2 linked regions of the Caenorhabditis elegans genome follow. The protein of the gene in region 2 purifies or fractionates together with the protein of the main gene of each other region. This does not show direct contact. Each region holds a gene or a part of one and is shown on either strand. Other genes may lie near its edges.

Region 1 (5,467 bases), on a different chromosome or scaffold from region 2:
GTCAACGTGTCCAGAAGCTTTCAGAACTGGTTCAGGAGTGAGAGAAGTACAGTCAACTTCCAACATGCCCTCTTCAAGAATGAAATGTTTTCTCCATTCTTGGAGCATATTAGCCTTCAAGGAACATCCCATCGGACCGAAATCGTAGAGACCAGTGACACCACCATAGATAGCAAATGATTGATCATAGAAGAATCGTCTTTTGAGAAGATCCTCCAATTTCAGACGATCGAATGATGCTTCTTTTGGTGCCAAAGCAATTTCTGTGTCTTCAAGAAGTCTCTTTCTAGCCTTCAATTCAACAACCGCTTTATCGATGTCGATTTTTGGAGCACCTTTCGCCTTGAGATCACGGATCAGATCTCCATACTCTTTTACTGCAGCACGAAGAGGGGCGAGTTTCTGAAATTCGAAAATGACTGAAGCCGAGCGTAGAGAGAATGAAATACCGCTTCAATTTCCGGAGTAGCCATTTGCTTCAAATAATCCGATATTTTTTGCCTGGTTTTCTTCTCAAACCGCGGTGCGACTACCTTTCTGGGTTGAAGTGGAGTTTTCCGGTCACTTGGGACTAGTTCAACCTGCAAAAGCGATATTTTATAGAAACGGTTAACGATAAGTTGTGTTGCGAATCGGTATAGGTTCAAAAGTGGTAGAATCATATAATTTATTACTGATAAATCTGGTTAACGAATAAAATTGGAAAGCTCATAGATTTTAATATGCGACCTGCCGGTCCGATCGTCCGAGGGTAAAACCAAGAAGTGTTGGGGTTTGATGTGCAGGTATTGTAGTACTGTAAAACTCGTGTAGTGTGTGTCTTTTGGCGCGGCTTTCAAACAGGAGTTTCTTGGCTTTGTCGTCGTTGATGACTTCGGTAGATTGTCGTGAGCATTTAAAAAACGGACAGACTTCGTAATATTTATACTAATTCTTTAATATTTACTTAACGCATTTCCTTGTTATCAATATCATTTCTAAAGTCGTGATCGGCGGTATTCTGCATATTCGCGACAAGTTGTATTTATGTGGAGATTTCAAGTAATATTCACTAACTCGGCCTATTATATCATCTTTCGCACCGTAATAAATGCAAGCAAAACAACATTTATTAAAAGTTTATTAGCGGCTTCTAAATCTCTATTAGAAAACAAAATTCAGGAGATATGAATTAAGCATTTCGGAAAGAAAGAAAGTATTTAGTTTTTTTTTCAGAAATAAATTAAGAAAAATTGTAAAAATGCAAGCGCGCCCTATCAACACGAGAAAGAGATTGTAGACGGCAGAGAGACAAATCCAAGAGGGACGTGAAAGTTTTCATTTAAAAAAGCAAATTAAGCATAATGGTATTAGCATTAAAATTTTCAAAAAGCATTAAAACTTTCAAACCCTTTTCATATAATTACTGGAGAACCAGCGAAATCTAGCGAAGTTTTCAGGAAAAAAACATTGCGAAATTCAACACAAAGAAAATGAAATGCAAGGCTGTCAGATTTCATCATGTTTGAATTTGTTTGTACATGCACACCGTTTCCGCTAAATTGCGGATCAACAATAACAATTTCACACCATTTTTATTAATGATATTTACATCAAAGTTTGAAATTTTTGTTTTAAGCTTCTAAAAAAGGTATTAAAATTTTTTAACTTTCAGAAAATAATAAATTCTCACAGAAAAAGGAAAAACAATTTAGCCGATTGTGTCTTCAGTCCGATATACTGACGACAAGATTCACTTCCGCATGGACAACGAGATCATGCGCGAGTGTAAAAAGAAACAGGATTTGCCCAGCTATTCGTGATGAGACCTCAATCTCACTACCTAATTTGATATCTGTTCTCACCTTGAAAAATGAATTTTCCGATGAAAATTGTCTTATTAACCGCGAGTATCGGACGCTGCTTTTTAACCAGCAACTAGAGAACATGAACTGGAAGATTTTTGACTTTAGAAAGTTGTAGATCATTAGAAGCATTGGCCAGTGTTAGAAGCAGATAAATAAGTGACTATGAACAAATGTTCATTACATTTAGGATTTTTGAAGGTTAAATATAACAAAAAAAAACAATTTTTATTAAAAAATTTAGAAAACAACAACCGGGCGTAAGTGAGCCTATGGCAATCTCAGAGTAACCGTTAGAAACCGAAAAAAAACATTAAGAGAAACAACGAAGAAAGCTCTCATAGCATGATGATATTTGTGTGATGGAAAGAAAAAATGAGGAAAAATTGAAAAATTTACTAGGCAGAGATTAATATAATCTAGAGGACGTAGTGGAAGAACTTTCGTGTCTCTTCATAAGCGACGAAAAGACATCCAGAAGCGAAGCAAGTTCTTAGATTGGTTGGTAGAAGTCCTTTGTAGAGTCCACGAATTCCTGTAAAATTGAATTTTTATAAGAAATTGAATTAATTATCCCTCAATAATGACTTACCATTCTCTTTAACGACAGCGCCCAAAGTAGACATAAAAGTTCCTCCTCCGGTGACTTGCATTCTCGATTTAACGACATCTGCTGGATAAATGGATGTCCATAATGCCATACCACCAACTGATCCAGCCATTGCTGTCTTCACAAGTCCAATTTCTTCCTTTTTCTGTCCTTCATCAGTCAATAAGAAACGGCATGTTTCGTAGGCTCCAAAGAAGAAGAAATAACCAGGAACCTCTCTTGCAAGAGTCGGAGTCATTCCAACAAAGAATCCACGGACACCAGTATCCTTCATGATATCCCGACAAACAGAGAATGGTGTACACTTCTTCTTCATTTCACGAGCTGCTTGAAGTTTACATTTGACAAGTTCTGTTGGACAGAGTACGGTAGCTGCAAAAACTGCGGCAAGAGATCCGGAGAATGCATTTTCCAATGGTGTCATTTGTCTGACATCTTCGAGTCCATTCAGTGTGGCAATTGTTTTTTGGCAGTAACCATAGGCAGTGAAGAGAACTGCATTTTCAGCAACATTTGCAGCTAGAGCTGGGAGAGTTCCTGGATGTTGAAAAATATGAATTTTAGAAATCAAGTTACATTTAATTTTTCAAGATTTTTTCGATTTCATCTCGACTTCCAAATCAAAACTACGTTATTTGAAATAAAACGTTCAAAAAAATTGCTGAGCTTTCTGGAAGCTTTTTAGAAATTGTATTTTATTTAAAAAGAATCTGAAACTTTTGCAAAAAAAGGTTTTTTTTGAAAACACGTTATATTGTTCTTCCCAGAAAGGGTGAGAATTTTTACTTCAAGAAGTACTCTTTTTTATAGTTGCATGGAACGTGTTCAGTACAAAGGATTGTTTTTCTTTTTTTAGATTCAGAAATCCAGACTAAGCTCAAAATTTTCGAAACAAAAATAACAAACCAGCGTAAAGTCCTCGAATTCCGTCCAATTTATAAGTATCCTTGAGACAAACAATCCAATTTGAATAGAGATTCGGGAATGTTTGTACTTTTACTTTAACTGTATCTAATGGTTGTCCAGCATACACGTTGGCAATTCCACCAGCTGTTCCAGCCAATAAATCGATAATTCCATCTTTAAAATGATTGGCTGAAGCATCACCCGTTGCAGTTGTAGGTTCACCGCTTTCATGCATATTTCTATCTATTTTATTTTCTGAAATAACAAAAATTGGAAGAAATGGTTTTGAAAATTTCCAGAAAATTTAGATCACGATCATTTTTTCTTGTTTGCTAAATAGCTGGTTTTGTTGGTTTTTCGGACCAAAAAACAAAAAATTTAACTTTTGAGTCGTGAGGAGGAAAACAAAACGACAATTTCTTTTGGTTTTGGGAAGTTAAATTTTTTGTGACTTTGTGATCACGATGAGCACAATAAAGGAGGATTTAAATTTCCTCTGTTTAGAAAATAAAACATTGAATCTGTATAAACTTCAAAATATATAACCATGAGGTTGAAAATAAAACCAAGAAGAAAAAAAAATAAATTTCAACGAAAAAAAAGTGAAGAAATTGTATTTATTGCAACTTGCAATGGTGACGGGGATCGGGAGTGAAATATATTGATATAACAGAGAAAGCTGATTGATATTATTGAACTGGGAATTGAAAGGTGGAAGGGAGAGAAAATTGTTAATAAATACGTCAAAAATCAAATAAAACTCGGATAAAAGGAAGAATGAAAAAGAGAAAAGAGAAAAAAGGCCAGAGATCCACAGAGACAAAAAAATCTTAAAAACGGGATGGGAAAGTTTGCATCACCTTTTGAAACAAAACAACGTCATCTGAGAATGACCACGTGACAAGTGATAATGTGATGTGATCTGACACCGTCGATCATCTTTAATCTTTTGTATGAACATTCTTTACACGGTATGAAATGAAATCAAAAGTTATAATTAGTGATGAGAATCACAACGATATTTTGGATAATGAAGAAATGCTACGAAAATGGGAAATATGGTTAATTCGAAATACAGAAAATTAAAGACTTTCTAGATGATTCGGGCTTACGACACCGACAAAATATAAGTTTTAATTATGCCCAATGAGAAGAAAATACATTTTACAGCTACTTTTCCGGAAACAAAACTATGAATTATGACACTTTTAATCTTCTAGAATCAAATAGTTGCGAGTAACTTCTTCGAAACAATCTCGTAAACCATTCGCTTTCTGTAGTATGGCATATTTTTCTGCGTGAAGCGAGGCGTCGTTCGTCGAGATGCCCATTCACCGAATTGGCATGAGAATACTCCACAGTCACTGCCATTTTGTTGACGAGGAATGTCCTAAACAAGATGATTATCGCGTGTTGAAGATCTTTTTGTGTGTGTAATTTCAGAAGTATTACTGGTTGTTTTAGAGAGCATAGATATCAAAAAAAGAGTGATTGAGCCAAACATCTGGACTTCTAAAAAAAAACTTTTTTTCAGAAATAAATTTAAAGTAAAAATCCTTTTTTTTATTTAATTTTTTTAAAATTCAATATACCGTCATCTGTTGAATTGTCCATCCAGAAAAGTTCATTGCTGTCTTTTTCTTATCCAATGATTCAGCTTCCAAGTAACCTCTGAAATATAAAATATTTATTGATATATTCTCTGTGAGTTTTTTAAATAAAAACCAAAAACACTCAAAAAACTAACCGCAATGCTGGCAAAACGGCTGTATTTCCATCATAAAGAGAGTCATAAAACTCAATCTTCTTTTCGCCCATATCGATAACAGCCATACACCAATGCATTCCAAGATGAACTGGCACCAAAACGATGTCGAATGCAAAGATATCGACTTTTCTTGTCCATCGTTTCACACTCGCGTATCCTTTTGAAACAATATTGGAATAAAAGAATGTGTTGAATGCATAGATCTTTGGATATTTCGAATCGCCATTGCTCCGATCACAAATCAATTGAAGATAGAAATTGATGATCTCATCATTCAGCCAATGCAATCCACTCAATGTTGCAAGATCTTTTTTACAGATCTGAATGCTGAATGCATCC
Region 2 (6,645 bases):
CACAATCAACTAGTAGTGTTCTTGGCAAGTGTGACCATAAAGATGTACAACACCTAGTATATTCTTAATTAACAATCACGGCATCTTTCCCCTTGTCTTTCAAAGCAGCTTCACACCAGTCTCTGTGTCGCCTAGATTATACTAGAAATTACACATTTTGCCCACGCACCGTTACAGAGAGAGAGGCCCGTCGACCTTTTCCAGTGTTCCTCTCCCTCCGCCTTCTCTCTTCCAAAATCTTCTTCACCAGCTTCTCCCGCTCCACGTCTTGGCCACGCCCCATTCGGCTTTAGTTAGCAGTGCTGGGCTGCCCACTAAGATCCGGTCTTGCTAGTCTATACCTTCTTACCTTTCCATTTTCTCTCTATCTACCATTATTATGATCTACCGATTTGTGGCAACTGTTGCCATATTGGCAGCCAACGGTGAGCTCTAAGTTCTATTATAGGTTAATGTAGAAAGTTTAGTTTCAACCCATAGTTTCAGTTATCCACTGAAAACACGAATATATTGCATTTCTAGTACCACTACCATTTTCAAAATTTGAAAATTATATATTGTCTTTCTGTTCCGCACCCCATCACTCAAACTTGAAAGTTTTTTTTCCGTTAGACTTGAAAATATCCGTAATCTTTCTAGAATGAAACTAGAATAACAGATAATGAATTTATGTCAGTTGACAGATTTAAAAAATTCTGATATAGCTGCCACATGGTGCAAGACTCATAGTTAAATACGGTAGCATATTTCCCAAAAACATTACCATCATAATTGTCAAGAAAATATTCAGTTTGAAACTTAAAAAAAACGTTTTTTAAAATTTAATTTCAGCTCACTGTCAATACTATCAATGGCCAGAACAACATCAACAATTTAATAATTTCAACGGATTCCCGCAATTCCAACAGCAACAGTTTCAACAACCACAGCAGTTCCAGCAGCAACCACAATTCCAGCAACAACAACAAAATTATCAGCAATTCCTAGCTCAACAACAGTACCAACCACAATTCCAAGCTCAGCAACAGCCTCAGCAACCACAATATTTCCAACCACAGCAACAGCAGCAGCCTGTACAGTACCAACAACAGCAACCACAGCAACCACTTCAATATCAGCAGCAACCACAACCAGCTCCACCACCAATCTACTCACAAACTGTTGTTATCCCACAAGCTCCACCCCCACCACCAGAGGCTTATCAGCAACAACAATATGGTCCATCTCAGCAGAATCCAGTAATGGTTCAACCAGCCGATATCCCAAGATATCATCAGAAGCCTCAGCCAGTTCCACAAGTACCAGATGTTGCATTCCAACATGTGAATACTGCTAGAAGTGTTCAACAAGTCGATTTTGATAATAAATTGTTCCGAGAGCAACCAAATTCATTCACTCAAAACCAAGAAAAGGTAATTATGGCACAAAATTGATTTTATGCACCAAGTCAAAAAAGTTTCCTCCAAACTTTAATTTAATTTTGTTTAAAACTATTATTTTGCCAAACAGGATGTTTTGGATATGATTGAGAAGTTCGAACCATTAGTTCAAAACCTGGAAATCAAAAAATACGACACCAACTATCCCTCCTTATTCACAGATTTTCATTAAGTTAAAAAAGTTTATTTCAAATGTTCTTTGTTGATTCCTCTGATTCCCTTATTTATCTTATGTTGCAGATCACTCTGCTCGCCCAACCACCACCACCTCCGGCACCTCCAGCACAGACTCAGGCACCACTTGTACGTGCATGTTTCAATATTTCATCTATATCACTCACTTCACTGTCCTTGTCGATCCTCATCATTTTCAGATCCGTGTCCCTCCGCCGCCAGCCAGATTCATTCCAACTTTAAAATCTCTGTACAGTATTGATCCTCCACGTCCAAAGGTCCTTATTTTAGTTTTGTGATTTCATTTCTTTAACCAATTGTAACCATTCTCCAGAATCCATCTTACAAACCCGATGAAATTATTGTCGATGGTCATCGATCTTATTTTGAGGATACACAAAGAACAAGACCACAGGTATTATTTTATTTTAATTTCCTTAATTTTTATTATCCTTTTGTCGTTCTCGTCCATATTAATCATGTCAAATGTTACAGTTTTCAATTAAAATAATAATAACAGTAATCATCGGATTTTTCAATTTTTAGTCTACCAAGACCCGTGTTCAATCAGTAGGAGGAAGCGTTCATTCAAGTTCTGCCAATATTCCACGAACATCTCAACCAGCCGCTGTTGTATCTCCACCACAACAACGTACATTTGTCAGACCAAATGAGGTAAAAATAGTTGTTCTAGATGCAAAGTTTTGCGATTTTGCGTCAAAATTACGATACCCGGTCTCGACGCGGCAAGAATTTTTTGAATGCGAAAAGGTGCGCGCCTTTAAAGATTACTGTAATTTCAAACTTTCGTTGCTGCGGAATTTTCATATCAAGACTCATATCGTAATTCGACAAAAATATTTTTGTTTATCAAAAAAATACTATAAAATTTTAAAAAATACTATAAACAATGGATGAAAATTCCGCATCAATGAAAACTTGAAGTTACAGTACTACTTAAAGGTGCACACCTATTTGCATTTAATTAAAAATTTGTCGTGTCGAGACCGGATACCGTATTTTTGGCGCCATTATGTAATAATAAGAGTTTATAAAAGCTCTAACTAATTTACAGCAATTCCAACAACCCCGTGTCGTTCGTCCACAACCACAGCAGCAATTGACACGTCCAGCTCCAGCTCGGCCGCAAACTAGAAGACCTGTTCCACAGCCACAACAAGGTGAGTATCTAGATGTGAAAACTCATACAGATGAAACTTCATGTAAATTTTTTTCAACTCTAATTTCAATTTCAGCAACACGACCAGCTCCTCGTCCAGTTGCTCCAAAGAGCCATTTGGCACAACAACCTGCTCCAGTGACTGCTCCAGTTGCCAAGCCAAGAGTAAGATTACACCTCTTAATTGAAATCTGAATTTTAAATTTTCAGACTGCCAGTGCAAAATTCCTCCAGTGCTGCAAGGGACGTAAGGTGCATAATTCTTGCGAACGAATTTGTAGTTTTGATGTTCTTTCGAAGAAAGTTCTAACTGGAATGTTCCTTGGAACTGATGCATGCCCACAACATCACGGTCTAGATCTGATGCAGTGTGCTGCTGATAATGATGATCACACTGCATGCTGTATTGATCGAGAAGTTGATAAAACGTCTGCTGGAAAGAAATGCCTTGGATTCTGTAACATGAAACCGGGAATTACATTCCAGGTAATTATAATGAAATTATCTTTGTTAATTAATTATTTAAGGCTGATGTATCGATGCTTCCATGCTGGTCTGTCCTCAACGATATCAAGCAATGTTTCAAGGAGAATTTGGAACGACAACTTGCTGCCCTTTAATACTAATACAATTGAAACTGAGCTCTCTTCAAAATGCCAACCCCCACTTCAATCTAGTCCTTGCCATGTTAAATTATTACTCCGCCTTCCAATTTATCTTTTTTCTAATTGAACCGGTGTTGTACAATTTTTTGGTTATCAGATTGGTTTCATTTGAATTGGACTTGATTGTCACTCTGGTAACCAAAAACGTTAAATGTAACATACCTAGCGAAAAAGTGAAATGTATTGAAAATAGAAAACTATTAAAAAGAATGAAGAAAATTCATGATGATTCTCTTTTCTATTAATTATTCGAAACAAAACAATAACAAATTGATGGGTTGAAAGAAAAACTAAACTACTATTTTAAACAAAAAGAGAGGGATAATGCTAAACGGGAAATTTTTAAAAAAACATGATTACAGTTTCCAATTACTCATCAATGCGGGTAAGATCAGATTCAGGAATGACTTAATTAGCGTCTTTTGTCGGTCACATTCAAATAGTCGGTGTCGGCAATATTCAACATCAATCCTCCTGTTGGGAGATAAGTCTTGTTTCCAGACTCAGACACGATACGAGCAATTTTTTGAGCAGCACGGATTTTTCTAAGCTTCAAAAATCCTGGATCGTTCTTCATGGCCTCTCCCAAAAGTTTTGCAGACTCAGCTTCTCCTTCAGCTTGAACGATCTTCTCTTGCTTCTGTTGCTTAGCACGTTCAACATAGAAGGTTGCTCTTTGTGCTTCCTGTGCGGCAACTTGCTTAGCTTCCACAGCTGCAGAGTATTGTGGAGAGAAAGCGAGCTCGGTGAGGGAAACATCATCGAGGATAATGTTGAAGTCAAGAGCCCGCTCGATCAATGTTTTGCGAACCAACATAGAAACCTATAAAAACCATTTTAAACGAGGTGAAACTCAGCCAGATCATAACCCATAATTTTCTAAAAATTTAAATAGCTGATTTACCTGTTGGCGTTGAGTGATAAGTTGTGAAGCATTGAATTTGGCGACAACTCCTTTAAGAACTTCATTGCAAATCGATGGAAGAACACGCTCTTCCCAGTTTTGTCCGAGAGTTCTGTAGATATGAACGAGATGTTCAGGATTTGGTCGAGAGAGAACACGGAGTCCAATGTTGACCATTTGCAAGTCTTTCGATCCAGTTGGAGAGCGAATCTACAATTTGAATTATGACTGATTATCAGATGAATACTTTTTCGCAGGAATACTTTTAAAAATAAGTGTTTAAATTTTCAAAACCGCCACTATGAAAATTGTATACGTACCTGGTTTGGTCTGGCACGGATATCATAGATGATTGGATATTGGAACCATGGGATTCTGAAGTGAAGTCCTTCCTTGTACAAATCCGTCGACAATCCTCCAATTCTGTTGAACATGATAGCTCGGTGTCCAGCTTCCACTGAAAACAATTAATTTGATCGTTATACTTAATATAAATAATTACCAGTGAACATTGACTGGGCGACACCGTAAACGGCGGCTCCGGCAGCAGCCACGAGTCCTAGACCAACTCCAGCTCCTCTAGCATTTTGAATAGCCTTCTTCATTGCTTCTTGCCCTTGTTTCGCCATTTTGCTGCAAAATAGACACATTATGATGACTCAAAAGAAATATGATGCAAAAATCGTTTCAAAAGAGAACAAGGTTAAATTCATGAGTTGATTAGCATGATAACAATAAGAATGAGCATATCAATATGCGTAAATTTTTAATTTAAAAGAAATTCGGCTTTGAATTATCAAAATATTCAATTTGGATATCATTATCTTACTTATTTTAAAAACGAAATTTGAATTATGCGGCATTGAAACCGTTTTTGTGCCGCATTGCTACCATATAAAAAGTAAACATGGAAAATACAAATATCTCGAATATAACCAACATTCATTAGATAAAAATCATTTTCAGAGCATAAAAAACAAAGAAAAAGCGACTTGAGAAAGAAGAGAAATACGCAGGGAAACAGACGCTCTGAGACCTACTCAGGAAATACCATGCGCCTTTAGTTCGTTGAAGAGGCAATGCAAGACGCAGAGAGGCGCAGACACAATGTACGCGGTAATTCAAAAACAGTAGTTTCGCCAGCAAAATTTGTTGTAGACATAGAGTACCGATATCGGCCGATAACTGAATTACAAGCGTTTACAGACAAATATTTTTATTTTTTTTATCAAAGAAGACTACAAGAAAACAAAAAAAAATACAACCATGGGAGTAATCACCATCATATCACATTCGAACTTTTAATAAATTAAAATCCCAAAGCATTGGCAAACATGAGAAAAAGATTGAACAAGTATTTAGAAACGAGTAAAAAATATCCCGTTGGAAGAGAATGCTCCAAATGATAATATAATTTTCAAAAAATTTAAAGCTCGGTCTTTATCTCTGACTCGTTTTCTACTTTCGACTCGTTTGCTTTCTTCGTGCTTTTCTTTTCCTTCTTCTTGTCTTGTTCGGCTTTTTTCTTCTCTGCTTCTTCTACAATGGTGTCGATATCAATTTTTCCGTCTTTGGCAAGATCGTCCAATGTTGTGATCTTCTTCATTTTCTTCATGAATCGATCTACTTCACGGTTCAGATTTTTGGTCTGAAAAATAAAATGATTAATTAGTATTCGTGTTTGTAGTTCATCTCAATGTACCTTGGTGTCAATATCTTTTCCAGTGAAGTTGAAATCATCTGTTTTCTTCTTCAAATCTAGGTGTTTCCGAACATCTGTGACCCAAATTTTCAGTTTGTCCAATTTAGATTTCAAACCGTCACGGTCTTCCTGAAAAAAATATTGCTACACGAATTTAGATATATTCTGTACCTTTTTGAATAGTGCCTTCTCCTCGTCAACATTGTTACCCAAAGTGGTCAATGAGAAAGTGGTTTCCAGAAGAGTCTCCAAGCTCTTCAACTTCTCTGGAACTGCCTTGTCGTGTTCTTGTCTCTTTTTCACACTCCGTACAACATTCTTCAATTCGAGCAAATTATCTGTGAAATCCTTCGTTGGTGTATCTTTCGTCACATCGTCTTCGAGCCAAGCACGAATTCTTTTCACAGAATCTTCCAATTTTGTTTTCTCCTCATCAGCCATGTAATCAGTGAACTCAGTTTCTTCGAGATATTGTGAACATTCAAAATTGAAAGATTCCAATTCATTTTCCACCGCAGCTCTCTCGGATGCAAGTCGTTCTTTTTCAGCAAATGCTTCCATTCTACGTTTTTCTTCTTGAA

The links. Proteins that work in one complex are often made in the same cells at the same time.
Region 1: the proteins of phb-2 (region 2) and T10F2.2 fractionate together in Caenorhabditis elegans (co-fractionation; one large-scale study listed by BioGRID). This does not show direct contact.

What each region holds. Positions count from the first base shown.
Region 1 is NC_003281.10:5,161,697-5,167,163, forward strand, and holds T10F2.2 (Mitochondrial ornithine transporter 1), read right to left. Parts: upstream 3,616-5,467; 5' UTR 3,596-3,615; coding exon 3,361-3,595; intron 2,992-3,360; coding exon 2,437-2,991; intron 2,380-2,436; coding exon 2,264-2,379; 3' UTR 2,063-2,263; downstream 1-2,062. Other genes in the region: gars-1 (Glycine--tRNA ligase), read right to left, coding at 1-402, 450-581, 1,845-1,928; ulp-1 (Sentrin-specific protease), read right to left, coding at 4,583-4,750, 4,953-5,031, 5,108-5,467.
Region 2 is NC_003280.10:6,249,761-6,256,405, reverse strand, and holds phb-2 (Mitochondrial prohibitin complex protein 2), read right to left. Parts: upstream 4,996-6,645; 5' UTR 4,992-4,995; coding exon 4,865-4,991; intron 4,820-4,864; coding exon 4,683-4,819; intron 4,573-4,682; coding exon 4,363-4,572; intron 4,282-4,362; coding exon 3,871-4,281; 3' UTR 3,626-3,870; downstream 1-3,625. Other genes in the region: dbd-5 (uncharacterized protein), read left to right, coding at 380-425, 832-1,412, 1,680-1,742, 1,814-1,891, 1,948-2,028, 2,160-2,288, 2,689-2,794, 2,870-2,958 and 2 more; T24H7.2 (Hypoxia up-regulated protein 1), read right to left, coding at 5,789-6,010, 6,065-6,193, 6,236-6,645. UniProt on the Caenorhabditis elegans protein: PHB proteins are essential during embryonic development and are required for somatic and germline differentiation in the larval gonad. A deficiency in PHB proteins results in altered mitochondrial biogenesis in body wall muscle cells.